Rhinolophus ferrumequinum: one gene and its partners. The protein of the gene in region 1 purifies or fractionates together with the protein of each later gene. This does not show direct contact. Links are inferred from orthologs where the notes say so. Each region holds a gene or a part of one and is shown in the gene's direction. Other genes may lie near its edges. The genes, in order: PPP6R1, ANKRD52 and ANKRD44.

Region 1 (9,645 bases):
AGGGAGGTTTCCGGGAGGGAAGAGGAACCACCGCTGGGTGCAGGGCGTGCTATAGGCAGGGGCTGGCCTGTGCCCTCAGGGCTCTGGCTCTTGCCCACCCCTAACCCCCATCTAGGAGGAGCTGGAGTTCTGTGAAAAGCTGCTACAGACCTGTTTCTCCAGCCCAACGGATGACAGCATGGATCGGTGAAACTCGGTTGCTTCCAGCCCCCTCTCTGTGGGAACCCCAGGCCTCTTGCCTCCCTCCTACCCATGAGGCCCTCTCCCAAAGAAGAACAGGGCCTTGTTGGTGCCCGGCCGGGATGTGCCAGCCCATCTTTGCCTCTAGGAGGGGTGCTGAGAAAGGCACCAGCTCCTTGGACCCCATTTCATGCTCGCACGCCATTCCACCATTCTGTGTCCACATTGCCTTACAATAAAAGTGTTTCTCCACCTTCATTGCCACCTTTGTCAGCTCCACTGGAGGTTGCCTGGGGAGGTGAGAAGGGGCTCGATCTTAGGAGGTCTGGGGAGCCACTGGAGGGGATGGCAGTGGGCAGAACCTGGGAATAATAAAAGTGCTGCTCTCTAAAATCCGGAGCCATTGTCTCCTTTCATTTTCCCGGCCTCTCGAGAGGGTGTGGGGGAACATCCATATTTCTCGGCCAGCCATCGTTTCTGATTTCTCCTCGGTTTGAGGAATCCCCCACATTAGACGTCCACGCCACCTGCCCTAAGGCGGAAACCATGTTCTTTCCCAGCATCTTGTACAGATGTACATCACGTGATTTCAGCCCCACCAATCAGAGCTCGCTGCACGGCCTACTGGGGAGCTAGTGATAGAGAAAGGAGCAGGTGCCGGGAGAGGTCTGGTGGCTCTGCCTGCACTGGTGGTGGAGGCCAGTCCGTGTGCCCCCGATAAGCCGGTGGTTGGCATTCCTGGAGTGCAAAGTACCGAGCCTTCTCTCTAGCCTTCTCCGAGATGGTGGGGCTGGGAGAGGGACTGCCTCACCCCCTTTAGTAAGTTGCTTTTCAGTTTAGCTTAAGGTTGCGTCCTTTGCAACCACGAGGCCTGACCATTGTCGTTTTTCAGACAAGGAAGCTGCGCCCAAGATGGTTAATTTGTGGCCGAGTTCACAGAGGCAGGATTCAGACCTGGGTTAATTCCGAAGCTGTACTCCTACGTCCTGTATCCTGGCTTCTTAGCTCTGTTTGATGGCAGACTAATTTCTTTGGTGTGGAATTTACTTGTACTTGGGATTTTGTAGGGACCAATTACTTTCACCCCTCTTCCCAAATTCAGGATAAACTGAAAGGTATCTTTAGGATTTGAGAATCGGAGATCAATTGCCACCTTTATTACTATCAGAGCCAATCAGAGGAAGTGGCTATAGTCTTGCTATTTCATCTCAGCATTAGACACTCTTGCCCATCTGGTCACAGACAGCACTGGGCAAACACGGGCCTCGGCTTGCCAACCTTCACATCTGCAGCTCAAAGCTGCAAACATGATACATGCCACTGAGGTTATTATGGTTATCTGTCACACAACAGTCGCTACCTGATACAAGGACCAAAAAAAATCATGTACAACAAATACACTGGAAATAGCATGGACCAGAAGGGACATGGCTGAACAATCAAATTACAGACATGGTAATCAGTGAATGCAGGAGGAAATGAGAAAGATTAAAGCAATTAAAGAGAAGCTAACAGATGTGAAGGACAAATGCATAATTGGCATCCTTGAAAGAGAGAACAAGCATCTAGAACAGGTAAATATAGTGAAACATTCAATAAAATGTCCCCGAAATGAAAAAGGTAACACTGAAGGTTAAAAATAAAAGCTAAATCTTTACATCCACTTATTCGTCTTATCCTTATGGGCCTGTAATATGGGCAAAGGGGAATTATGAAAGTTGGGGAAACTGAGGCCCAGAGACATATGGGACCTTAATGAATATTGATACAAGGTCTGGGAGAACCCTTCCAGTCGATGTTAGAGAATTCTTTGAGCAGCAAATGTCTGTAGTAAAGACACTGCCTGGGCAAAGGTCTGGTGGTGGGATTGAAGTCAGCCTGAGGCACAGAGATGATGTCTGGAAAGAACCCCCCCGGGGTCACAGGCGCCTGGCCCTCGTTGGAGAGAAACCCGGCGCGAATTCCCCAGGAGCTCGACTCTGGAGCCAAAGCCTGAATGTGATTGGAGGAGACAGAATAACGAATAAATTCCGCCAGAAGCGAGCGGGAAGAGAAATTCTGGGGCAAGAACGCCTCCGGAGTCTTACAGCAATGCTACCGGGTGTGCAGTGGCGCCTGCCCATTGGGTTGTCTGGGTTTATTTGGGGAGACCGTTGGCACCAACAGGCGCAAGCGCACCGTAAGAGGAGGAAGAGGAGGTGTTCCGGATTGGCGGGGTCGGGAGCGGCCAGCCCCAGGCGCACGCGCACTGCCGAGCTCGGGCGCGCGGCCTCCGCGCACCGAGACGACGGCAGGAGGGCGGGGTCTCCTGCGTGCCCCTGCGCTGTGGGGATTGTGGGATAGTGGCGGACGGTAGCCGGGCTTCGGAGGCCTTGAATCCGACTGCAAAACCGGGAAACCCAGCCGGCGTGGGGAGGGGGTTGTGGGGAGGAAGTAGCCCTTGGCTTCTGTGGGCCTCCGCTCAGCACTGCGGCCTGTTCGGACTGTGGAGGACGTCTTCCCCGACCGGCCTTTGCTTTGCAGTGGGGCGCTGGCCGCAGGAGACGGGCGGCTTCCCCGCTGAGAGCCTGTGCGGGCCTCGCGACCCCGCTGACTTCCTTCAGCCCCGGGTCGGGACTCGCACCCACATCACCGGCAGTCTCGGACCCCCGCCCGCACCCAGCCGGCGCGGACCCCCGAATTCTGGAACTCGGCGCGCGAGGGCCTTCCCCTACGTAGGCCCGAGAACGCGTGCGCGAGCCCCGGCCCCAGCGTCTGCGCCAGCGTTACACACCGCCGCCCCCCGCCCCCACGTACCGGGCCCCTGAGCAGGGCCGGATCCGCCGGCAGCGGGGCGGGGGGGGCGCCCCGATGAGCCTCGAGTGCGAGGAGCCGCCGCCCCCCGACGCAGGTGAGCGGCCGCCCCGGCGCCCTCCCCACGGCCGGGCGTCCCGGGTTCCCCGGGGCCTCGTCTCGGAACCCGTCGAGTCTCCCCAGCCCTTCTTCGGACCCTTCCTCTCCTCCCTGGGGTTTCTCCCAGTTTCTCCCCATCAGCCCCCGTCTTTCAGTCTCTCTCCACAGGCTCTTAACGTTTCTTAGTCTTTCCCTTTAATCTCCCAAGTCTCTACCTCCAGCTCACCCCATTCCTCCTTCCCTTTCAGGCCCGTACCCCCGCCCGCGACCACCACACCTCCTACCATGGGCTCTCCTTCCGTCTCTTAGTGGGTCTCCTTGGCCTTCCCCTCCCCTAGCCCACCTTCCCCAGTCTCTTCTCTCTACACACCCCAACCTTCTCCTACCTCCTTACTCTCTACTCTTACTCCTCTACCCCCCACCCACCCTCATCTTTTCCTCCTCACGGACCGTTCCCTTGGACACCCCTTACCCTTCTGTCCCTGTCGCCGGCCATCCTGGATTCCATGGCCTCTGACTGTCGTCCTTGGACTCAGGACGACTGGAGTAATGGGGCTTCCCTTCACCCTGACCAGGCTCTCCCGCCCCATGGCCCCGGCTTCTTGTGAGCTGGGCTTTGGGCGGTACTTCTGTGGAGCTGCCACCACTGAGTCTTATTCTGTGAGATGAGGCCTCCTGAGGGCAGGGCAGGGAGCCTGGTGCTGGGCACTGAGGGAGGGAGGGACCAGCCCTGGGAGACAAAGGCAGAGCCAGTCAGTCACAATAGTAGTGGTGTGATAGAGGTAAGTCAGGGTGCTGTGGAAGGCCCCACGGCTGAGGAGGGACTGTTGAGACTGGCTCCTGGTGGCGTTTTCTGTCCAGGAAGGATGAGTAGGAGTTGACATGGACGGGGGCGAAGAAGGGCCTTCTGGGTGGAAGAACAGCACGTGCAGATATGTGAAGGTGGGAACCCAGGAGCAGGTGTGCGCCCAGAGTGCAATGTATTGGGAGGGAGTGGCCTGACACCTTGGGGGTGCTACTTGTCTAGGCTCCCGAGGGTGACCTTCTTGCTGGGTCTTTCTTGATTGCTCTACTGTACAGCTCTGCTAAGGACGCAAACGTTACTGTATTAACATCAGCCCAAAAGGCAAGGTGTTTGTCTAAAGCAGGGCTGTCCAAACTGTTTTCAACGTTTCTCACCAAGGGCCGTATGCGGTAAAACACACCAACAGCCGGGCCACTCACTCGAGGTGAAGTACGTGTTGCCTCACCTGGTTTATTTAAGTAAACTAAATAGATTTTTGGAATTTGCTGCGGGCCAATTAACAATGGCCCGCGGGCCGCAGTTTTGACACCCCTGGTCTAAAGGAAGATGGGTTGTCAGGTGTGGTATGGTGTTCAGAGTTGTAAGGAAATGCCAGTGGGGTATAAAGTAGCGTTGACATCGGTCTCCTCTCAGGCTGGTTCTGGGGGTTCAGTGCGCTGTTTATAGGAGCCTGGAGCAATCTGCAGGGCACAGGAAGTGCTCCAGAATCAGCAGCTTTTAAGGTTAGTATTTGGTTTGGGGTTACCTATTGTAGTATTCAACTGGGGGTGATTGTGTCCCCTAGGGGAAGTTTGACAATGGCTGCAGACTTTTTTTGTCACAACTTGGGGGATGCTACTGGCACCTGGTAAGTAGAGACCAGGGACACTGCTCAGCATCCTACAGTGCACAAAATGGTCCCCGTGACTGTGTCAGACCCTGTCAATGGGGCTGTGGTGGGGACACTGATCTCTTGCCTGGGTGTGATGTAATTTTGGCTTGTCTGCTCTGTTACTACCTGTGAGTGGCTGTGTGTTGTGTATTTTGACTTGTTTTTGGTTCTTTTTGTTGGGTCATCTACTGATTCCATTGGAGGAGAATGCTCATTCCCCCCTATCCCCTACAACTTTTCTTTAGGACCTATGGCCAAATGACCTTCAGTTTTCATTCATTCAACTAGTACCTCCAGCTGTGGGCCTGACCTTATGCTAGGTTCTGGGAAGTGGACATCTGGCAGGGAGAGGCAGGTGACTAAACAGGCAAATGCTGTCACAGAGCCCTCAGATGCTGTCACCCGGTGACCGCGGAAGCTGTGGAAGTGTGGAGTAGGCCCCTAACGCAGTCAGGGAGGCTTTCTGGAGGAAGTGGTGTCTGCACTGAAGCCTGAAGGACCCAGGAGGAGCTAGTCAGGCTCGAAGGGCTGGAGGAAGGCAGAGGGAGCAGCGAGCCAGGGCAGAGGCGAGGGCACAGAGGAGCAGTCAGGTGTGGCAGGAGTGTTGCGCGCCATGCGGGTGGCAGCAAGAGATGAGGTGAGAGAGACCTAGAAGCGTTGGTGAGAATGAGAAGCTTTCCTGGTGTTTCTGGGCTCCTGGACTCGTGGGCAGGCTCTGCACTGGGGCTGAGGACACACCTTCCTTTTGAGGCTGAGCCAGTTTTCCCTTTGAATGTCAGTTTTATGGACCTTCCCATGGGAAATGTGGTCTTACCATCACCCTGAGGTGTCTCACAGGTGAGGAGTTCAGGCTCCGTGGGGTTAGGTCTCTAGAGATTTCAGTTTGGACAGGTAGGACTGGAACCCAGGCCTTTTTGACTGGATCACCTGTAACACTCAGTCTGCACCTCTGTTTTCCAAGGGGCATTTCAAAATCTGTTTGTTGTTCTTTTCCTTTTTTCCTTTGAACCCATGGCCCATCCAGGAGACCATCCTGATTGTGAGCTTTCGGGCACCTCCTCAGGCCTTGGCCAGGTGTCCCCAGTCTGTTGTTTCCAAATTACTACATTCCCCTGGGGACGGACCATCATGGCCACCTCCCTTAGGGTAATGTGGTCTGGGGTCAGAGGGAGAGGCACCTGAGCTGACTCTAACTGGGTACCCCCCACACAGTTTTCCTGAGTCACAGTAAGGTCCCAGCCTGTCCTCCTGTGTGGCCTCAGTGACCCCTTCTTCCACCGCCTACCTCGTTGGGTTTTGTGGACACACACACACGTACATATTCACACACTCCTGCCCCCATCTTCCTGTCCTTGGAATCTGAAGTCCCTTACCCCCTTTCCAGATTTAGCTGAGAGCTAACAGTGGGTTGGAGGCAGGTGGTCTCGCCATCCTCTGAAATGCCCCTGCCACGGCTGAGAGCCAGGGGGTTCTCTCCCCTCCTGGGATTCACCTCCTGGGATTCACCTATGTCACATTAGAACGGTTGGTTGGAGGGTGGCAGCAGTCACCAGCTCCAGATGGTTTCTCCCAACGCTGGATCCTCTGCTGAGCCTCAGAGCAGCTCAGGTGGCCACTTTGGAGGCCCTCCCAGAGGCCTCTGCGCCCTTGACCTCCACTTCCGGGCACTTTGGGGCCAAGGCAAACAGGAAGGGGTGGCAGATAAAGGATCAACCCAGGGCTCCCCGGCAGGCGGAGCTGTTTGGACGGGTGGTGGCAGCAGCAGTGACAGTGGGGACAGCTCTGTGGGAGCTGCAGGCAGGCCCTGTCTGAGCCCAGGCGGGGAGGCCTGAGAGCACAGCAAAGTGAGAGCGCAAGGCCATGGTGCAGAGCTGGCGGATGGACAGGTGCTGTTTGTTTTTTAATGGCTTCCTTTCTCATTTATAGTTTCCCCTTCCGTTTGCAGCTAGAGTCTTGGTTTTCATCCAGTTTCTAAAAACCAGTGGTAGTCACTTCCGTTTTCTTGAAGTTTGCTAAACGTTGCAAAGGGTGGGGGTGGCGGGGTATGTAGTGCCCACCAGCACATTTGAATCACTCAGGCAAACGGTCAGAGTCTTTCTGTCTTACTCTTCTGTTTTTAGCACCGTCACCCAGTGTATGGCGGTCTCCTTCCCTCCCACTAGAAGTATCTGGGCTTCGGCATGGTTTCAGGGACAGACAGGAAGGGACCAAAACCTGCCGAGCGCGTGCCTGTCACCTGCCTGACCCAGCTATCCTCACAGCATGGGCCTTCCTGGTGGGCTGTGCCCACATTTCACAGACTGGAAACGGGTCTGGGGTGCCAGCTGCCTGGCCTAGGTTCATGCCGTGAGAGTGAGAAGGAAACCACCTGTCCTATCCCCAGGGTTTCCAGCAACTTGCGTTAAGTGAGAACATGAGGTTGGCCCGCAGGACTTGGAGCTAGAGTGAATTGAGTTTGTGGCCAGGAATGTTTTTTTCTCTTTTCCTCTTTTTAGTGTGTTCTTTTTTCTAGTTCTATACCTGCATCTTCGTTCTGTGTAGAGCTTGAGAAGTGATATGTGTAAGGTACCGACCACCACTCGATTGCATCTGGGCCTTGCCACCTCCTGATTTTCAGAGGGGCCACCTGGGTTGGGAGGCCCCGGGAATCCATACTCCATGCCACCCAGCTTCCTCCTTTCTTGTTGTGGAGGCCCCCACCCCTCCCAACCCCACCCTGGTTCTCTGGAAAGCCAGCTTTGGGAGGGAAATCCGACCTGTTGTCTGATGGTGGGGGGAGATTAGGGGAGGGGGGTGGGGCCATAGTCTGCACACAAACCGTCTGCTCTGGAAGTGGGTGGGCCTTTAGTCAGAAGAGCAGGGCTCGCAGAGTCCTGGTTCTGCCTCTTGGTGGCCAGGGCTCCCCTCTCTGGGTCCCCATCCCTATCAAATGGGAATAAGAACAGTGCTACACCTTGTCATCTCGATGAGATGAGAGAAAGTGCCGTGTACAGTACACAGGTTCTCTGCAGATGCTAGCTGGGCCCTGCCCCCCAGCTGTGGGGTGCCTGCTTAGCTCAGGAACAGTGGTAGGGAGGTGGGGAGGGGCCACTTGGGAAGGCTCCCCAGGGCGGACCTTTCATGTGCTTCAGCTCGGTGGGCAGCTGGCGCCTGCTCAGCTTGGGGTGACTGGTGACGGCGACTTGGAGCGAGGCCTGGGCCTGGCCCCGCATGGCACTCAGACAGCTCTGGTTTTGTTTTGGTAACAGTTTTTGTTGAGATGTAATTCACACACTGCACGATTCACCTATTTACAGTGCGTGATTCAGTAGTTCCTAGTAGTCACAGAGCTGAGCGCCCTTCACCACAATGGATACTTTCAGCTGAAGTATGATAAATAAAGTTGTGTATAACTGACTTTAGAAGTTTTGGGGGGCTCTTTAAGAACATCCTTTCCCAAAAGGAAAACCCACATTCTCCTTTCCCATCTCTCCCAGCTCCTGAAAGTCACTAATGTACTTTCTGTCCCTGTGGTTTTTTCTTACTGGACATTTGATGTGGATGGAGTCACATGGCCTGTGATCCTCGGTGACTGCTTTACTCACTCTGCTTGGGTGGCCTTTTGGCTTCTCTAGTCTCCTTTTTGCCATGAGAAAGTCTCCAGTGTAGAAACACGTGGTGATCTCACCACTTCCAGGTCCCTGCCTGTTGTGGCCCCCGGCGGTGGCTGCCCCTTGAGATGACTGGTCCCAGGTCCCCCCAGTTCAGGAAGTCCGTCCCTGGGCCATCAGAGCCTTGGGGCTGGTGTATCACCTCTGCTGAGCCTTACTTTTCTCACCTGTGGCATGGGCGCTGTCGCAGACTTGTCATCATATGCGGTAGGATGTGTGGGAGGGTCCCTCAAGGAGGTCTAGGCTCTGGGCACAAGTAGGGGTTGCCTGCGTGTGAAGGGTGGCCATGCACTTGCAGAGGGGGCTACTGGTTGGTTTCCTTTTGGAGCTGTAGTTCACTCCACCCCTAGTGCAGCCCGCCCCACCTTGGGGTTGGGGTTTAGGGAGCCCCTGAGTTTGGCTGGGGGGCGGGATGGGCACCACTCCCTTTCCCCTGACAGCTCTGGCAGCCTCCCGCCTCGGGCAAGGCCTGGGGAAAGGTGGTTTGTTTGTAGGCAGGGAGTCTTTCAGCTAACTTTGCTGAGCATGTTTCGAGTGCCAGGTTCTGTGCTAGGTTCTGTCCCTGGGTGCTCACGGCAGCTGGCGAGGAACTTCTGTGCAGTTCGTCATCTAGTTAGGGCGTGTGTACTGCACGTGTGTCGTTACTGTGACAGTGTACATGCTGGGCGGGTTGGGACACATGTCCCGGAACTGGAGGTTGGCGAGGGCCCTTGGGACCTTGAAAGCAGAGACTGGAGAGGTCATCACAGGATTTTGGCCTGGAATGAACAAACATAAGGTGCTCAAATTTGTCTCAGAAAAATGGCCCAAGTTGGGGGGCGGGGGAGGGCGGCTGGGGTGAGTCCCTGCGTGTGGTAGTATAGGGCTGTCCCCTCCTGGCTGTCCCTGCGCACAGGGCTGTTCCTCCACTCCACCTGCAGGTGTGCTTGGCCAGGGCTTAGGAAGCGACATGAGTCCCCTCAGGACTGTTGTGGATTTAGAGCTCCTTGTTCCTGGTCACGGGCAGGACGTGATCCTGGGTGGGGAGGATGGCCGTGGTGAGTGAGGCTCCTGTGGAGGCTGGAAAGGAGAGCTGCGTGTGGCGGTGCGGCGACGGGACAGGCTCAGAGGCCTGTCACCTGCACCTGCAGGTTCCTTAGCCCCAGCCCCAGCCACTTTCTGAGTCAGCATCATTCTCCCTGGGTTGGTGCTCCGTCTGTGGCTAGGGTGCTCTCCATGGCTGCAGTGGCGTGGGACAGAGAAGACTG
Region 2 (9,609 bases), on another chromosome or scaffold:
CCAAGAAGAGGGAATTTAACGTTGGAAGACTGGCAGGGCAGTATAAAGGATCAGTAATATAGCCGGGAGAGGGATGAATCTTGCCCACTATTGCTACCCTTACATTCTAACCAGGACATGAGGGGAAGGGAATGTGGAGGGATGCTGGCCAGGGGAGGATGCTCACCCCATGATCCTACGCTCAGAGTAAGCCTTTCTCTTGTTGGTGAAGGGGGCAGCAAAGCCCATGAAGGAACGGCTAGGAGGTAAGCCAGCCTCAGCCGACAAGACTTGGGCAGCCCGGGGCAAGAGGAGGCTGCAGGAAATCAGAAATCTAAGGTCAAAAGGAAAGGAGAGACAACGTCACAATTCTTTGTGTTCAACCATTCCCAGGTGAAGGGGAATTGGGGCGCATCCCAGAGGAAGGTCGTCCAGGCAAGCTTTTCCCCTACCACCTGCTGCAGCCCGCCAGACTCCCTGGCCAGGCAGTCACGAGTGCGAAAGGTCGAGGGCAGCCGAGGACAGTGCCGGGGGAGGAAACGGGAGAAAGCGGGGTGCATGCGAACCGCCAGTTGTCTTTGAGTGGGGGCTATGCTACTGCTGAAAGCTAGGAAGCATCACCGTCCCCGGGGCCTCGCCAAGCCCGTTGCTGCCAGGGCGTCCGCGAGGGGCAAGAAGTGGTTGGCCACCCACCCCGGGGACTTCCCCTCGCGAACAACTTAAAAGTGTGTTTTCCAAAGCTCTACATTAGACCCCAGGGTTGCAACCCTCTGCCGCAGAATTTTAGGGTCTTAAGCGACCCCCTTTCCTTCCGCGCGGCCTCCCGCGCCTCCCTCTCACCTCATTGGTCGCGTCGGTCGCGAAGGGCCCAGGGGCGGGGCCGGGCGCACGCCCCGGTGGAGCCGGAGGCCGCAGCAGCGCTGGGCCGCTGCGCGGGTCCCGGCCGGGAGCCGCCGCGCGCCCGCCGAGGCCATGCGCGTGACCCTCCCTGGCCCTCACGGCTCTGCCACCCGCTGCGCCCTCCTCACTCTAGAGGAAGGGTGGCAGGAAGCGACCGACAGGCCGGTTCAGAGCCCGGGCGCGCAGGGGTGGCGAGGGGCTACGGCTCCTCTTGCCCTGCTCCCTACCGGGCGGTGGGGTGAGCTAGAACTGAAGCTGCGACCGCTGCTCCGGCAGCTCCCAGTATCCCCACGTCACGCCGTTGCCATGGCTCGGCACTGGGAGAGGGAGGAAGCAAGGGGACAACGTGGCCTGTCGGGAGATGTAGTTTCACACCTCTGGCGAGAAAGGGCATGGAATGTGTGTTTGAGATGTAGACGTGGCCCGGTGACGTGAGGTCACCAGGCAAACTGTTTGGCTACTCTGGGATCACTGACTGGATACATAAACACAAAGGCGACTTTGTGGACGTGTCAAAAGTAGATATCTGTTGATCTGAACTCTCTTAGAGCCTTTATCATATTCTGCCTTGTTTATATAATTAGTTCTGTAAGTTCTGTTCATCTTTGTAGACTCCGTAGTGCCTAGTGCTATGTTTTACATCTTTGAGAAAAGGAATGAACGTTCCAAGTTCTGGGCTAAGACTTTACATAGTTTTCTCCTTTAACATTTATACAAAAAAGTTGGGGAAGAACCAGACTTACTTTTTACTGGAAATATCTTTGTCTGGAAAAGTGTGCACTTGATGAAGGTTGAGACCCCATGGCCAGGAACCCACTGCTTTCCATCATAATGGGGCGGGGGAGGGCAGGAAATGCTCTTAATAAAAGTGGGGACAAGAAAAGAAAAAAAATGGAGAGAGGAGAGAGAAATCAGCAATTAGAGCTGGATCTAGGTGGGTACAAGAGCCATTAAAATTCTCCCACGTTGTAGTAGAGGAAGGACATTTTAAGAATGCTGGTGCCTGCTGTTACATTTAAAGATGTTTATGCTATTACAGTGCAAGCCCCTCCTCTGCTTTCCTTCAGAATCCTCAGTCAAGCTCTCCACATTCAGGGAAGCCTTGTCTGAGTAGTGTTGGGGGGAAGCGGGGGCAGGGATAAAATAAAGACAGTGTTGCCTTTTGGATCTAATTGGTGTGGAAGAGAGACATCTTGCCCAAAACAGGGGCCTGGAAACAGATATAAATCCTCCAAATCCCCCCCACTCCTTGAGATTGGCATTAATTTGGGGCCTTCCACTGGATATAGATTGATTTAAAGTTTGAGCCCATTTTATCTGAATTTCAAGGAGCAGGAGCCCTCCCTTGAACTCTGGCTTACATTTAACATTCTGTAAGGAAGGTGTTTTAATCCTTATATATACAGGAGTATAAAGCCCCAAACTGGTGGAATGATCTAATTTCTTTTTCTCTCCTAACATTTCTTCTTTTTCCCTCAGCACCCCCACCCCAACCATCCAAGATACGGTACCTCCTTCCAGTTCAAAGATGATAAAATGGAGCCTCTCTTGGATGGGCATATGACCTTGGGGAACAGATTTACTCTTTCCAACCCCACTCTCTTGTCTGGCCCCACTCTCTCTGACTAAGGGCTTACACATGTGAGACAGCTGCTTAGAGTGAGGAGGAAGGATCTGGCCAGATAAAAGACAGAAATTAACTGGGATACACGACTGAACTGTGACCTCATTAACACTCCGCCTTAACCGAGTTAACTGCTGCAGAATCCCCAAGGTACAATAGGCCTGCCAAGCCAATTTGCTTGTTGCCCCCTTACTAATTAGATTAACTAATTACTGCCGTTTAAATTTTTCCTAGGAAATTCCCTGTACTTGAAACAACCGATTGCATGCCATTTTCCCATCATTGTACATCAATAACTGCCTTCAAGTACTAACTTAAAATACATCTCCTCCAGGAAGACCCTCTTGACTAAACCCATTCCTTAACATTGATGTCATGTAAAGTAGCATATATCCCATATTCTCTAGTTGTTTCTTGTGTACGTGTGTGTTCTACTAAGTTATAAGCTCCACAAAAATAGATACCATTTACCTCCAAACCAATTAGTATAAGGCTGTACACAATGGTGAGTTTTTAATCAACATTTGTTAGAAGAATGAAAATTGAGTCTTAAGGACAAGTAGGCATCTGCCCAGATTTATCCAAATATGAATTCAGTAGCTGAATCCAGAAGGACTGTCTGCATAAGAGGGCTTTGCCACCACCTCTGGCCTCCTTCGCCTCCACTCTGTGCGTCTCCCTGAGCCCTGGAAGTATCTGTGTTACCTACATCATATCCCTTTTTTCCCTACTGGGAAATCCTCTTTCTGTGCTCTGAATAATATTAAAAATAACTCTTCTAGCCCTTCCTCCTCTTTCCAGCTGCCCAAAGAACCCGGCTGGCAACCTTCCTTGTTCACCTCCACACCCACGCCAGAACCAGGCACGTGACTCCAGCTTAACTCCTGACTCCCAATTCCTCAGGTTACCAAGAGCTATTTCAGGCAATGGAGGCCACATAGTCCCCTCCTCCCCATCCTCTAGGCCATATCCTAGCTTAGCCCTTCCTGGAAGGTCTATCAGACCCAATAGCCAAGTCAGCATGTCCCAACACCCATATCCATCTAATCCCCAACTACCTTTGGTTTCTACTTCTTCAGCTTCTCTTTCTTCTCCTTCATCATCAAATGTTAAGTGCTTCTTCCCATGTAGTGTTCTGCTAGAGCTACAAAAATAATTGCATGTATACCCTGGCTTTCAGAGTTCAAAATCCTTTTTTAATAGAAAAACAAACAAACAATGTGCAGTCTTGTGTTGAACGAAAGACAAGGAATTTAAAATCCATTCTGAACTACTGGGTACTTGTACATACGTCAAAGATATAAGGTGAAATGAACAAAAGGGTGCGATTTAAACGTGATTGTGACAGTGTAAACTAAGTATGTCAAGGAGACCTAACAAAAGGGAAAGAACCTGTTAACCAGGGAAGACTTCCTGGAAGAGGTAATATTTTCAATAATATCGCATTTATTTTCAATACGGTAAAAAATCAAAACATTATTAAAGGTATATAGTGATAGGTAAATTTCCCTCTCACACCTCATTCCCTGTTTCCCAGTTTCTCTCTCCAGGAAATAGCCCTGGTACCAATGTCTTGTGTGTTTTTCCAGAGGGAATCAAGATATTGAAAGCAACGAGGAGGCATAGATTGTTGGAGAGTGAGGGAGGGCTTTTATATCTATGCCTTGACACTTCGTGCTACACTTCTTCCTAATACACTTATTGAGTTGTTGAGCTCTGAACTGGTCTCTGAATCACCTTTTATAAATAATACCAATTTTTCAATATCCACTTTTCTTCCCTCTTTTTCCCTTTCTGGGCTGGGACGCCCTCCTTCCACATCTTCCCTGATTGGCTGCTCTCAATAGAGGAAGGGGAAGCACCCCCACCCTTTTCTGGGAAGAAACCGTTGAGCCTTTTAAAAGGTAGCCGCCACCCTACCACCTTAACCTGGCAGTAATTAGGGAGTCGAAAAGTGCCCCTTCTGTTGGCCTTGGAGGTCTTCAGCTGCTGGTTGTCTTAGACTCTTTGTGGGGATTTTTCTGCAGCAGTAAAGTCCTTGGGTTTTTCTCTATGAAGTCTGAGCACTTTTGCTATTTCCTTCCTACCCAACTCATGTCACCGCCAGTGGAGATAGGCGCCTTCCCTCCTTCTAAGGCTATTGCCATATATAATCCCCAGATCTCCACGCGCGTTTCCCCAAGTCTGGGGGGATTTGGGGGTGTATAATAGCTGACCCGAGGAGTTTGCTCCTGCGGAGGCATTGTGGGCTGGGTGAGATCGGGACAGCCATTTGGTGCCATTTGGTTGGAAGGCACGGCAGGGCCAAAGCCCGAGTTGCCGCTAGAGACTTGTGGGGAGATCCCGGGGCCGTCAGACTGGAGCGAAGAGCACAACGCGGCAGGCCTGGGAAGCCGGGAAACCAGCGCGCGAGGTGCGGGAGCCGGGGCCGCTCCGGCCGCCAGAGCAGGGCGGAGGGCGCCGCGGCCCGGGGCGGCGCCAAGGACCCTGCGGCCGGGCCCAGGACGGCCGCCAGGGAGCGCTGCGGGCTCCCGCTCGCCCGCCCCCCGGTAGGCGGGGCCGCGCTCTCCCCGCAGCAGCAGCCGCCGCAGCCGCCGCCTGGGCCGCCCGGTGTCCCCGGTGGAGCCGCTGCCGCCGCCGCCGGGAGCTCGATGCGGACGGAACCCGGCCCGGGCCATGGGGATCCTCAGCATCACGGACCAGGTCAGCCCTCCTGCCTTTTCCCGCTTCCTCCCTCCAGGGCCGGTCGCCGCCGCCACGCGAGCCCGGGGATGTGCGGCCTAGGCTGGGCCCAAGCCCGGGTCTCCCGCGGCTCCCGCCCCGCCCCATGCCGCGCTCCCCTCAATTGAGCCGGTGTCCTTGGGGTCCTGGCGACCCGCGGAGACACCGCGGGAGCCCCCTGCAGCCAGGACCCCAGAGCGGAGCCCGTCCAACGATGCCTCCCCCAAACCTGGTGTCCCCCCGCCCCCCCTCCTGGGTTCCGCTCCGGCTCGTTCCCTGAACGCCGGTTCTCCCTGCAGCCGCCCTTGGTCCAGGCCATCTTTAGCCGAGATGTGGAGGAAGTGCGTTCCCTCCTCTCGCAGAAGGAGAACATCAATGTGCTGGTGAGTTAAGATCAGGGAGGATGGCGAGCCCGTAATCTGGGCCCTGGTGTTCTAGACCCCTCTCCACCAGTGGGGCGGCTCCGTGTCTCCTTGGTTCGGATGAGGCCGTAGCTCTTTCCACCCCGGGATGGGCACCTGCTCTACCGTTAGGGATGGAGAACAGATCAGGCTCGGAGCACAGATCGGGGAGGCTGAGGATGCTCAGAAACGGTGTTCTCTTCTGAATCAACAGTGTCTGCAGCGACCCCTCCCCTCTTGAAAGGAGGAGACTGCTTCGCAGGCCCCTTGGCCCTGACCCCCTGACCCCACACTCCCTAGGTGCTTGCAGTGATCCAGGATTGGGATTTAGGAGGCTGCAGAACCAATGGGAAGAGGTTGTGGGGAGAAGACTGGGGCTCTAGGTGTTGGGCTGGGGTCCTCCGTTAGTTCACCCCCACAGCCACTCCTCTTTTTCACCTTATCAGGACCAAGAAAGGCGAACCCCACTGCATGCTGCTGCCTACGTAGGCGATGTCCCCATCCTCCAGTTGCTACTGATGTCAGGTGAAAGTGGGGAGCTGGAAGGTGTGGCACCTAGGGAGGGGATCTGAGGGGAGGAGCCTCTTTTTTCGTATCCAAGGATTGTTCTCTGGTGCTTGGTCCAGGCGAGGCTATAGCTCCATCCCAATTCCCTGGCCTGATTACCGGCTTCCTTCTCTACCTCTTTCCACCTGCCCTCAAAAGAGGAAATTATATCCCCACAGGTGCTAATGTCAACGCTAAGGACACACTGTGGCTGACCCCTCTTCATCGTGCTGCTGCCTCCCGAAATGAGGTACAGGTCTCCCGCCTCTTTTCACCCTTCGGAAGATGATGAGGTGGTTAAAGGTGAAGGTTAAGGGTTGGAGAGTCTCATTCCTTTACCTTGCAAGTTGATCTACTCCGGCTAGGGAGAAGACCAGCCCTTGGCCCCTCCCTCCTATCCCTAGAACTGGCTGGTAAGGGGGGGCTGAGTGTTGCCAGCTAATGTGACGTCAGGGGAGAGCTTAACACTGGGCTGGCAGACTGCAGGGGGCCCTGCTGCCAGGCCTGAGTGACTCATCCCTCCCTTGGGGGGCTACCTTGGAGTCTGATCCCCCTCTGGGTACTGAGATTTGTTTCCTTGTGATGGAGGGACATGGGTAGTGATCTGTTGCATCCCTGCCCCTCCAACAGCATGAAATTTGACAGCACAGGGGTCAAACATGCCTCATCAGTTGGGTCCATCAACCCTGAAGAGTGGGGAAGGTAGACCTCCCTCTTGGTTAGACGGTCACTTCCCTGGCTCCAGCCAACAGGGAAGGGGTGGGACAGGCCAGTGGAAATGGGGTAAGTGGTGATTAGGGGGGCCATTTTAGCCTGGGTTTTGGAGAGGAGCCATTATCTGTTTTCTTACCTAGGTAATGAAAATGATCTTGTTGCCTATGGAAGGGCTGAAGGAAGCTGTTAGGGGCCTTACAGGATTGTATATCTCTCCTAGGAGCAGTGAGGGCTTAGGATCCTCTTGTTTGGTAGTGGCTGTGTGTGTGGATGACGATTTTCAGGGTCTGGATTGGGGATGATAGTAGGTGGCTTGAAGAAGAGAAGGGATTCATGATTTCCTTAGCAAAGTGGGAAGATTTTAAGCTCTAAGAAGACCCAGAAGATGGAAAGTAGGTATTAAGAGGCTAGATATGTTGGAAAACTGAGAAGAGACTGTGTTGGGGGCGGGGGGAAATGGGGCCACATATGCCATGCTGACCTTGTTCTTCTTCCCATTTCTTATGTTTTACCTCCTGCTCCCCCTCTGTCATCTCTCTTATCCCCTGCCACTCAATAGAAGGTGCTGGGGCTGCTGCTGGCACATTCAGCTGATGTGAATGCCCGGGACAAGCTGTGGCAGACACCATTGCATGTGGCTGCCGCCAACCGGGCCACCAAGTGTGCTGAGGCTCTGGCACCACTGTTGAGCAGCCTCAACGTGGCTGACAGGAGTGGGCGCAGTGCCCTGCACCACGCAGTGCATAGTGGGCATCTAGAGGTGAGGACCTCTCCCAGTCTATGTCTAGCCTCCCTTTCCTTCCTACTCACCTTCCCTGGCTTCTGGGCCATCAGGCCTCAGTAGGAGCACTGAATGAATGGTCAGGTGGGGTTGAAGTTCTTGACTTGGAATTCAAGAGGGTGATAAACTGTCTGGAGTTGTATGGAAAATGTTGGTATATATGCCTTTTCGTGAAGTGAGAGCCATGTCTTTCAACACATTTTCAAAGACTTTTCAAAAGGGTTTAAGAACCCGTCACCTGAAGAGACCTCCTTGAGTTTTGACTCAAACTTCCGAATCTGTGTGGAATCTCCTTAGTGCCTGCTTCCTCTGTTCCCTCTAGTTCTCCAAATTATTCTGCTCAAGAACAAGGACATTAGGCTGCCTCGGCCTTTTCAGGAGCTGAGGCCTCTCTGCTCTTAGGTACATTGAGGGCTTGAACCTGGCTTTGAACAGGTGTCTTTCATATCCTGATACAGACGGTGAACCTGCTCCTCAACAAGGGAGCCAGCCTGAATGTCTGTGACAAAAAGGAGCGGCAGCCTCTGCACTGGGCAGCTTTCCTAGGTGAGAAAGGATTCACAGGAAGAGCAGGAATTTGACACTTAGGATTCCTGGGGGCAGGGAGAGGGGGTTGCAGCCTTCAGAGAGAGGCACTCGGGGCCTTAGAGTGCACCCTCTTTGAGAGCATCCTCTTCCTAGGGCATTTGGAGGTCCTGAAACTGCTGGTGGCACGGGGAGCAGACCTTGGCTGCAAGGACCGCAAGGGCTATGGGCTGCTCCATACAGCTGCTGCCAGTGGCCAGATTGAAGTGGTGAAGTACCTGCTCCGGATGGGGGCTGAGGTCAGGGTGCTGAGCACGGGGGCTGGGAGCTAAGGGCAGGGAGTTGGAGGTCAGAGTCTGTTACGGAGATATGAAGGTGTGGTTTGGGGAGGCATGGAGTATGTGGTGAGAGGATCTGAATAATATTTACCTTAAGTAATAGTGCTTTTAGTCCTTTGGGTCAAGAACCTGAGGGGGCTGAGGCAGTCATTGGATCTCCGGGATTCTTTATTTAGGCTGTCTGTTTAAACTGATACCTCCCTTACCCCCTTACCCTCACCCCTGGAAATCCAGATCGATGAGCCCAACGCTTTTGGAAACACAGCTTTGCACATCGCCTGCTACCTGGGCCAGGATGCTGTGGCTATTGAGCTGGTGAATGCAGGAGCCAATGTCAACCAGCCGAATGACAAGGGCTTCACGCCACTACATGTGGCTGCAGTCTCCACCAATGGCGCACTCTGCTTGGAGCTGTTGGTCAATAACGGGGCTGACGTCAACTACCAGGTGCCTGAAGGGGAGGAGGCTGAGCCCAGTGGGGAGAGGAGCCTGGCCCTGGGGGTCCTGACTATATCTTCCCTTTTGGGTAACTCTCTGGGGGAATTGTCCACTTGCCTCCTGGGTTGATCTTGCCAGGGACCTGGGAGAGAGTGGACTGAGAAGATATCCATATGACCACACAGTCCTCAGGGATGTGTCTTTTTTAAGGGGAACCAGGCATTCTCTGTGCTGTGCACTAACAAAAACCAAACAAACAAACAAAAAACCTGCCATGTTTCCACAGAGCAAAGAAGGGAAAAGTCCTCTGCATATGGCTGCCATCCATGGCCGTTTCACCCGCTCCCAGATCCTCATCCAGAATGGTATGGACTCGGGAGACTGCGCTCCCTTCTCCTCCCCCAGAGAACTCATTTCTAGAAACCCCTTTCCTTCCTTATTCCACCTCCCATCCCATCTTCCAGTCAGGATGGGTACTTGGAGCTATGAGCTGGGCCCTGTGGAAATGGCCCTGCTCTGTCTGCTCCATCCCTAAGGCTTATAAACAAGATAACATGTAGAATGCTTAGCCTGGCACCTGGCATATACTAAGCACCCAAATGGTAGCTAACTAGCGTGAGTGGTTGGAAGCCTAGGTTTGTC
Region 3 (9,876 bases), on another chromosome or scaffold:
GTTAATATACACATAGATATATATGTGTGCATATTCATATACACACATGAATATATACATATGCATACATTATGCATGTATTTATATTGATAAAAATTTAAAAAGCATAAATTAAGTAAATAAAACAACCACAGTGAAAGGGAATATAGTACATTGGGTGGATTTTTTTATTAAAATCATAGGCTATTATCACTATAGTATAGTGGTTCTCAGGATTGCCCCTTAGGGAATATTTTTTGAAATCTGAAGGGCTTATTGGGTTGTCACAAAGTATGGGGATGTTCTAAATGTCTATTGGGTGGAAATCAGCAATGCCAGGTATCTCACAATATGGATTTCAAATGTCCCACTGGATATTCATGTAAGTAAAAATCTGTTTGTAATTCTCTTAGCCTAAAGCTTAACCCATTTTACAGAAAAACACAATGTTTTTGTGCTTACTTTGAGCAGTGCATCTATTTACCCCTTCTTCAAACCTCCTTGTCATCAATCTTCCAACCCTTTTCTGCCCAAGTTGCTGGACCTTCTCAAGCTCAGTCTCTTATATACCATATCCATTTGATGAGGGGTTGCTCTTGTGCATGCCCAATCTTATGGGCTGGTGGGTCAGATAGCATCCAGTTCTTAGGTTGCATAGTCACTTGGTGTCTCATGGTCAGTCGTTCAAATTCAGTAGCCAGCTAGGTACAGTTTCTCAAATTGAAAATTGTTATCTGCAGAAGAGGGCATGGCTTTGCTCTAAAACTAAGGAAGGCTGCACTGTGACTGTTCCATTAGAGCTTGCCGGAGGCTCCATATACCATCCCTGTTTTCTGCCAACACTTCAAGTATCATTGGATTCCTCTGGCTCATAGGGTCTTGCTACACTCTTCTTTTTCTCTGATTCCTGATAAAAAGTGCCAGCCTTATGCATTACTGGGTTAGATGGGTCAGAGCACTACACTCAAATATGGTAGATATATTGCTTCCAAAATCCAGAGGCGCAAAAAGTATTGTGTCTCATTTTTAGTGGTAGGTGGTGCAAGGTGCAGCAATTTGTCTTTCACCTTGGAGGAGATAGCCTGATGTTGTCTGGATCAATGGACCCCCAGAAACTTCACTTAGATGGTAAATTTTCTTGGGGTTCACATGTGTCTTATTATGGCATCTACAGTATCTGTTATTTCCTATTTATTAGGTCCAGTCAACTTACTGTCTTTAGGATAGTGATTAAGATCTCTACAGACTAGATTGTGGCAGAGAGCAGGAGAATTTACATCCCATAGACAAGACTGTAAAGGTGTACTGTTTGCCTTACCATATAAAAGGAAAGAGCTTTAGATGCAAATTGGAATAGATAAAAGAGCATTTGCCATATCAATAGATGTATATGAGGTACCTAGGACTGTGTTGATTCGCTGCAGTAAAGATAGCACATATATAACTGCATCTGCAACTGGCTTTACCACGTGATTAAGTTTACAACAATTCCTAGTTATTGTCTAAGATCTACCTGCCTCTGCATAGGCCAAACAGGTGAGTTAGATGAGGGAAGTGACAGTGTCACCACCCCTGCATCCTGCACATCTTTTATGGTGGTGCCAATATTTACATCTCTTTAGGGATGTGGTATTGCTTTTGGTTTTCTATCCTGGTAGCGAGAGGAATTCCCAGAGGCTTCCACTTGGCCCTCCCCGCCACAATGGCCTTCACTCTGTGGGACAGAGAAGTAATGTGGGGACTCTGCCAGTTATTGAGTATGTCTATTCAATAATACATTGAAGAACTGAGGCAATAGCCACAGAGTAGATCTGCAAACCTATTGGATACTTGGGTGAAAACTCCATTTACCACCTGACTACCCTAAGTCTCCACTTTGATTGGTGGACCCAGTGATAGTGGATCCTCAGGAATTAGCATTAATTCAGGAACAGTGTCTAGTAATCCCTGAAATATCTGGGTATTTCCTTTTTCCCCGTGCATGGTCACCCTAGTAAATGACATAACTTACTTCCTTTGGGGAAGGCTTCGATGACTATTTGTAGTATAAATTTCAGCAATGCTGCCAGATTCTTTCTTAAGGGGACCAGCCTCTCTTCAATCAAGGGGCTCTGTGGCTGTTGAGGTATGGAACTGGTTGAGGTATGGAAACTGAATAGGAGGGATAACTTTTCATTTTGATGGCGCAAGTCAGGTTTCAGGCAGCAGAACTCGAGTTTTGCCTGTTATAAAGATCAAGGAATATTTCTAAAGTCTGCCCATCTCTTTCATTCCCAGGGCCACCTAGGGTGTTACCAAATATCTATCCCTGGACGTCAAGACCTTTTAGTACTACTTTGTCTCTGCTGCCCATTGTAGTAAGTGTGTCTAGTATCTTGTCCCTGCCGATTAAACGGTCCTAGGACCCCATTATCATAGAAATCACGGAACCATCTCAATTGAAGCATCTCCCACTATCATATCCAACTACTACAGAGCTTTTCTGGTGCTTCCCTTACTAATGTATTTTTCAATGCCTAGAAATTGACTAGGTTGGGTGTACAGATTACACATGATAAAATCACTCCAACATTTCCATCTCTATAAACCTTTGGATGTCTTTTTTGAATTTCTTTCTCTGCATTATACCAGGGACATGCTGTCGTCTTGATCTCACTGATCATAGATCACCACCGAGTCAGTTTCATTTAACCAACGCAGAAACTGTTGGCGTCACTTTCAATGCTTGAGCTTACACATTAAATCCAGAGTTTCTGTTAATGTACCCATCCCAATAAATTAAGCCCAATCCTTTGCCTTTATTGTGTTTGGAACTTGACAAAGAACCTTTCAGCCTTTCACCAAGTTATCTCACCTATGACAATACCAATGTTGATATTTGAGTTACTAATACGACACATTCATGTTTGTTTGTATTTGTAGTTCTCTCAGGCATGATGGTTCTGCATACAGGTCAAAACATCTACTCTTTATTTGGTCTTCTAATAGAGTTGTGCTATAGCCTTTACTTATTGAAATACACATAATTATAAATGACTTTCCTTTTATTGTTCCTTTATTATACAATTAGAACATTAATATTGATTTTTTTTGTAATTTGCATAGGTAGATAATATTATCTATGAATTTCATTTCAGGAAAATAAAGGGAATGTTTAAAATTCTAGTTATAAAAGGGGATGTTGGGTCTGATAGGGTTGAGACCAGCTTCCTCCTCCTTTCAAATTGGGCCCCAAAAACTTATGTATCGGTATGCCCAGAATGAACCAAAATGGATCTTGAGCGCATCTGCAAAATTAAATCATGTGTTATCACTCTTGTGAAAGATGGCTCTATTTAAGTAGAGAATTCAGTGTCCTAATCAGTTTATTTACAAAGCCATGCAGGATGATATTAATAAATAGACCTGTAAACAACAGCAGTGAAAAAGTGCCTCATAGATGCAACAAAAACAATCTGTTTTATTTGAGGGAGGCCATGAAGAGATACATTTTTGTCTCGGTGTATCATTGAGGATACCAGGCGTGGAAACCAGGAGCTTGCTTTCTTCGTCCCCCTTCTCTGCATGATTTGAATCACAATTCCATGGTTAGGTGATAAATTGGAGGATGCTACCACTCCCTACGCTCCTTTCACATATGGAATCTTCGGGGGAGCCTCTGAAAGTAGGGTGGAAGAGTCACATTTGGTTTGTGAATGAGGGTTGATATTTGGTTTTGACCCAGGAACTCTAGCTCTGGTTTGCCGTTCAATGCCACTGCCCTGCAGGTTTGTTCTCTGGCCTGCCTGGGCACCTGCGGCTGCCTGGGGGCAGTACCCCCACCCACCTGCCTACCTTACTCTTCCTCCTCCAGAATCTCCACTCTTGTCACTTTCTCAGGGAAGTCTGCCCTCACTCACCAGTCTGGTTTGATTCCTTTGTCATGAATTCCTTCAGAAGCATTTTTTCACGTGTGATCCCTTATCTCAGTTTATGATTATTACATGCATTAGTGGTGACTATGTGGTTTATGTCTGACACCTCCTACAACTAGGTATCTTGCCTGTTTATGCTTCCCCTTCCATACTACGCTTAAGCAGAACTTGGTACAAAGTAGGCACTGAGTATGTAAGTCGTTGAATGAATAAATGTTTGCTCCAAATTCCAGAAGCATCAGAACTTACTATGATTATGAATATCACTATTGTATTTGTATTCCATGCTGTTTGACAGCTGAGTCTTCTATCTGTTGAAGAGCCTGGTAACTGGATTTTGTAGAAAATGGATGAGTCAGGACAGGTGGGAACACTCAAATGCCCCATTAATGTGGTAATTTAGGACCTCTTTTCTTCTCCAGTAACTCTACTCCACCTCCGCCTTCCCCAAAACAAAAGCCAGTGATTGTATTAACGATGGAGTCTGTGTGTGTTTAGCTGGGAGGCAGCTGGAGAACAAGGTGGAAGGGCCAGAGCCCCTATCCCCACCCCTCAAGGGTTGGACGCACACTCACACTCGTTAAAGAATTACAGTGTGTCCAGGGCCTCCCCGCATTAAACAAAGACAGCGTCAGAATAATGGTCCTTGACCGGGTGGGAATAATTTGGAGTGTGGGTAATTTGATTTCGGATTAGGGGAAGAGGTTTAGGGGAAGGGGTGTGACCCAGTCTCCCACATTAAAGTTGTGGTGTGTGAGTAGCAGCCTTTCTTGCCCCCTCGGGTGTGTCCGCACAGGCTTGCTCATCAGGTTGTGTCTGTGTGTGACTGTGTGTGTGTGTGTGTGTGTGTGTGTGTGTGTGTGTGAGAGAGAGAGACGGGGCTAAAGTGGATCACCGTCAGCCTCTAACTGTGCACGCCCTGGGTCCGGAGGGCAGCGGGGGCGGCCCTGGGGCCCGGGTCTAGCTCGCCCCGGCCCGGTGAGCAGGTGCGGGAGGCAGGCGGCCGTCTGGCCCCACTGCGGCGCGCCCGGTGCGGGCGCGGGCTGCTAGGCGCGGCTGCGGGCGGCAGGAGGCAGCGTCGGCCCAGACGAACCGCGCACGGTGATGTCAGTGGCGGCCTGGCTGGCAGCAGCCGGTACTTCCTGTATAAAGGCGGGCGGGCTCCGCTGCAAACCCCACTAGCCAGTGTCAGCCTCTCGGCGGGAGGAGGAGCAGGGGGAGGGCTGTCAAATTCGGGAGCCAGATTTTTTTCTCTTCCACTGGCAATCCCTTCCGCTTCCCCGGCTCCTGGCGTGACATCTGCGGACTCGGGACCTGTATGCGTGTGAGCGCGAAGGAGCGGAAGAATGGCAGTGCTCAAACTCACCGACCAGGTAGGGGGCGGCGGCGCGGGCGGGCGGGACTGGCGGGCGCGGGGCGGCGCGGAGCCCCGGCGGGGGGATGGAGGCGCGGCGCGGAGCGCGCCCGCGAGCTGTTTACTCGCGGCGAAGGGGAGGAGTGTGTGCGGCCGCCCGCCGCTCCGAATGCCGGCGGCTGCGGCTCTCCTCCCCTGCGCTGTCCCCGCCCTGGGCCGTCGGAGCTGCGCGCTCCGGTTGGGGAAGGGGCCGGCGGCAGCCAGGCGCAGCCTGGGCGCTGGGGTACGGGTGTGCGCGGGTGCGTGTTGTCCGCGGGCCCGGGCTGGGCAGGGGGAGGGGAGGCTGGAGGTGCTCCTCCGGCTCCAAGCGTGCTGCGCAGCTTGGGCTCCGACAGCCTTTGCCGGCCCAGGGGAGGCTCGTCCGCGCCGCCGGGAGGAGAACGGTGGATGGAGAGGGAGGGAGGATCGCATCCTGGGACCCCTCCGCAAGCCAAGCCACGCCAAACCCGAGACCGGCCCAGACCGCGGCTCTTGTGTTGTTGGCTGTCTTTATTCGTTTGACATGACAACCTGACTTCCTCTTTAGTAGCCCCAGAGGCTGTGTGTGCGTGGTGCGCGATGGAGACCTTTGGAGAAAGCGCTCTCGGTTCTGGCGGGTCTCTCCGAGGAGGAAGTGAAGTCCACCCCGGGCTCCACTCACAGGCGATGGGCTACCTACCCGTCTACCTGTGTCCATCAGCTTTGTTGCTTCCCTTGCTGAGACATCACTCAGGGCAGCTCTGGAGTCCTGGTTCGGAGAGGTGGGGATATTTGCTGAATCCGTTGATAGTCCTTGCTGCAGGTCTGTGGAATGAAAACATCTTACCTTTGCGGACTCTGCTGCTCTTAGGACATTGACACTCACAGGTGCCCAACCAAAGTTGCACGACAAAACCCTTTGCAGCCTCTTACACGGAAAAAAAAAAAAAAGGAAGCAGCTTGCGCCCCCCGACCCCCCCACGCCGTTTATTTATGGATGGTGAAAGGAACATTGTTTTGGAGGCTTGGTAGTCCAAGAGACAATCTTGACTTTGACATACGCGGTCAAACATGCCCGCCCTTGGTAGTAAACATCTCATACTTCTCTGGTGGGTTGCATCTGGTGCCTCGCCGTTCCCAGTTAGTATCCAGAACATCCTGCGACTTAAATGCAATCAGGAACCACTGATTTGCTCTCCTGCCTTCCAGAATCAAAGCTTTCCCGAAGTATTTACAGCACCCTCCTCCCTTTTTGTAGGAGAGGGATCACTGAACTGAACTTTCATGTTATCGTTAAATTTAGCAGGAGGAGCAGCTGGTAATTATGATGGATCTGCTTGTTCCCATTGGTTCCAGAGCATTTAATAGTGTTTGTAAGTTGATATTAGGATTTCCCCCACCTTTTGGTCACGTACTTTGACAACTGTTGGACATTTGCTTGTTTTAAATCTTCCAGTTTTAGTCTGCCTTGGTCTTGTCATCTTTGCTAGTACATGTTACTGACTATGTTTGTCTGTTATTCCTAAACCTATAAACTACAAAAAATGCTTCCAGTCGGTGTTATGGTTATCACATACACAAAAGAATTTCACGTAAAATTTTAGAGTTGTAAGGGACCCTAAAGACAATTTTAGACCACATTCTTCATTTTTTAAATGAAGAAACTGAGATCTGGAGAATTGGAGTATGTCTTCCTCAAGGACCACCACTCTTGGCCCGGGGGCAGAGACTACCTCCTGTTTCCTGCCTTCCAGGCTCTTGTGCTTTCTGCTCGGGGTGACACATCTGTCTTGTCATTGGATGTGTTAAAAGGGTTACAAGAAGGCATCCTCTTCTAAATCAATATCAACACTAGGGAAGAGTATGTTACTTGGTCTTAGAAAGAAAGGAAGTTATTCTGGACTTTTCAGAGTAGGACCTTCAAAACTGTTTGTCTTTTAAAATATTTCTGAACACATCCCGCCCTTTCCCCAACAAACTAGTATTACTATGGAGGGAAAGAAAGAGTCGTATATCCTTCATTTCATTCCATTACCTGATGTATAAAAGGAACTGAAGGAGTTCTATGGTTCAAGAGCATCTAAAACTTGCCAGCTTATTGTGGTGCAAACCCAGGGGAAAGCTGGGTGAGAGGTGTTCTGGGTAGTGGGCAACCATGGTTTCTGGGTGGCTTTAGGTCCAGGAAGTGTGTGGTCTTTCTTGCCTTATATAGTTGTAACTTTCAGTTTGAAACTAAATTCTTAGAAGCTGGTTCTTAAACTCACCAAAGACTTAAAAATCCTTTGCTTAAACCCCTACTACAAAAGTTTTGCTCCATCATTGTGGGTAGGGAGCTGTCTGCTTGGAATCCCTGCCTTATGGTTTGTGCCTAACTCTCCATTCAGCTGTTTGTAAAACAATCACATTCTAACTCCTCCCTCATCTGGTTAATGCCCAATTTGTGAGGTGAATCTTGATTTTTGCCAAGGCTCTTGGATATTTAGCTTGAGGACACATTCTTGCTCTTGATAACCCGAATCACAGATCGTCTTGGTATGTTTTTAAATGTGCCGAAAGTAAGGAGAGAAAGAAGATGACATTTCCTGTCCTGCTGAAACTGAGTGCAGGAGGTTGTTGGGCAATGAGGGTCGCTGGTCACGGCTTCCACAGTCAGTCCTGCACTGACATCCCAAGCATGCAAGATGAGGAAAACTTTCCTAACTCTGTTTTGGAAGAGTCAAAAAAAAGGGATGAGGGAGAGTCAAGTGTGGTTTTCAGTCTTTTTCTTTTTTTTTTTTTTACTATGAGAAGGAACTGGTAGCATTGCTACAAACAAACAAAGTTGGCATTTAGCACTTCTGCATTTGTAACTGTGTGTCTTCTGTCTTCCTCTTCACACAACATCTTTCTTGCAGTGGTAGGGAGACCAACCATCCTGGCTTGCCAAGGACTGAGGATTTTCCCAGGATATCGTACTTTTGTTGCTAAACCCAGGAAAATTCTGGGTAAACCAGAACGAATTGGTCAACTTACACAGCATAGAACACACTCACCTATGTAATTAATATAGTAATGTAAGTATTTTCTCCAAAAGGACATTAGGTTTATTTATATCTTTGATAAAGTGAGGTAATTTTAAGTGTGGGGAAAAAAATTCTGTTACATACAAATGTAATGCATTTTGGCTCAATTTAGCCATGAAACTCTTTGCAATTTGATTTGCTATTCAACTTTGGGGGGCTGCTCTTTATGTCACATAGTTAAGGCACTGCAGTGAGGTCCTATCTTCAACTTGGACCTCTCTAAAGTGTTTCAAAGTGATGAAGCCAGAATGGTAAGTTCTGTTAGATCTTTGACGTGTTCAATATGTATTCTTATCTGGATTTGCTAGTGACAGCAGAATGCTGTCTCCATCTCTCGAGGGCTGCCTGTAGACAAACTGTTTCAGCAGGTGGCCCTTTTTGGAGCTTCCTGCCTGGAGGCCTTCTGGTTTGGTGTCCCCTTGCCAAGTCCTCGCTCACACTTGAGTCATCCATCTCCTTGCCAAAGGCAGTGGCTGGCAGCTGTGGCAGGGCAAGACACTAGAAATCCTGTAACTTTGAAAGCAGGATTTCTAGCTGATGGTGTGAGGCCTTGGGACTGGCTGGTGTATTTTATTTGTCTGCCCTCATCCTCCTTCATTCCCTAGAGCTCTGGGCTTACAGCAAACACTGTGCTCCAGTCCTGCTTTCAGCAGAGAAGAAGGGAAAAAGAAAGGCTTTATTTTTTGGACCATTCTCTCGTTGTTTTGGGATCCACTCACATGGTTTGGGGAGTGCAGTTGAGGGCTGGTCTTTCATGGCAGAGACCTAATAATGGCTTATATTTATCGTGATCTTATTGTATGCTGGGCCCTTGTGAATCGTCTCTCTTAATCGTCACAGCCACACGAGGAGGTAGGTGATAGTATGCTTTCTATTTTATAGATGAGAAAACAGGAATAGAGAGGCTAATTGACTTGTTCAAGATCATACACCCAGGAAGTGATCTAGCAAGATGTCCTACCCTGGCAGTCTGATTGCATAGGAGGAGCTCTAACCACACAGCTATACTTTTAATAGCTGAAAGGGCAGTGCAGTGACAGGACTCAGGGATGCCTGTTCCTATTTCCTAGGAAGCCATTGGGTGAGCTGCACTCCTGTACTCTTGGGCCAGACCCATTTCCGTGACAGTCAGGAGCTGCTCTGAGGCCTTTGCTCCTGCCAGACTTGTGCCTGACTTATTCTGTTAGCTGCTCCACCTCCTCACCCTGGTGAATAATGTGTTGGTCGGTAGCTTGGTGATTTTGTTTTCTCGGTCATTAACACATACACTGGGATCATTATAGAAAAATCAGAAAGCTAAATAAACAAAAACAGTTGAAACCATCTGAAGTCTCTATATTCAGAGAGAAGTACTCTTGACATCTTGGTATATTTCCTTCTACCGTGTTTCCCCGAAAATAAGACCGTGGGGTCTTATGTTAATTTTTGCTCCAAAAGACGCATTAGGGCTTATGTTCAGGGGATGTCATCCTGAAAAATTACGCTAGGGCTTATTTTCCGGTTAGGTCTTATTTTTGGGGAAACACGGTAGTTGTTTGTCTGGGTAGCC

What was found.
Region 2: the proteins of PPP6R1 (region 1) and ANKRD52 purify together in Homo sapiens (co-immunoprecipitation; 3 studies listed by BioGRID and IntAct, with this or other methods). This does not show direct contact. The link is inferred for Rhinolophus ferrumequinum from reciprocal best matches to the Homo sapiens genes PPP6R1 and ANKRD52.
Region 3: the proteins of PPP6R1 (region 1) and ANKRD44 purify together in Homo sapiens (co-immunoprecipitation; 5 studies listed by BioGRID and IntAct, counting the BioPlex papers as one, with this or other methods). This does not show direct contact. The link is inferred for Rhinolophus ferrumequinum from reciprocal best matches to the Homo sapiens genes PPP6R1 and ANKRD44.

The regions. Positions count from the first base shown.
Region 1 is NC_046298.1:48,431,695-48,441,339, reverse strand, and holds the start of PPP6R1 (serine/threonine-protein phosphatase 6 regulatory subunit 1), read left to right. Parts: upstream 1-5,264; 5' UTR 5,265-5,361; coding exon 5,362-5,385; intron 5,386-6,486; exon of another isoform or gene 6,487-6,634; intron 6,635-9,645. UniProt on the Homo sapiens protein: Regulatory subunit of protein phosphatase 6 (PP6). May function as a scaffolding PP6 subunit. Involved in the PP6-mediated dephosphorylation of NFKBIE opposing its degradation in response to TNF-alpha.
Region 2 is NC_046293.1:55,591,627-55,601,235, reverse strand, and holds the start of ANKRD52 (serine/threonine-protein phosphatase 6 regulatory ankyrin repeat subunit C), read left to right. Parts: upstream 1-5,070; 5' UTR 5,071-5,179; coding exon 5,180-5,206; intron 5,207-5,523; coding exon 5,524-5,607; intron 5,608-6,071; coding exon 6,072-6,150; intron 6,151-6,350; coding exon 6,351-6,421; intron 6,422-7,444; coding exon 7,445-7,645; intron 7,646-8,124; coding exon 8,125-8,212; intron 8,213-8,347; coding exon 8,348-8,490; intron 8,491-8,763; coding exon 8,764-8,976; intron 8,977-9,253; coding exon 9,254-9,332; intron 9,333-9,609. Other genes in the region: COQ10A (coenzyme Q-binding protein COQ10 homolog A, mitochondrial), read right to left, coding at 167-313, 820-953. UniProt on the Homo sapiens protein: Putative regulatory subunit of protein phosphatase 6 (PP6) that may be involved in the recognition of phosphoprotein substrates.
Region 3 is NC_046291.1:33,252,387-33,262,262, forward strand, and holds the start of ANKRD44 (serine/threonine-protein phosphatase 6 regulatory ankyrin repeat subunit B), read left to right. Parts: upstream 1-5,077; 5' UTR 5,078-5,239; coding exon 5,240-5,266; intron 5,267-9,876. UniProt on the Homo sapiens protein: Putative regulatory subunit of protein phosphatase 6 (PP6) that may be involved in the recognition of phosphoprotein substrates.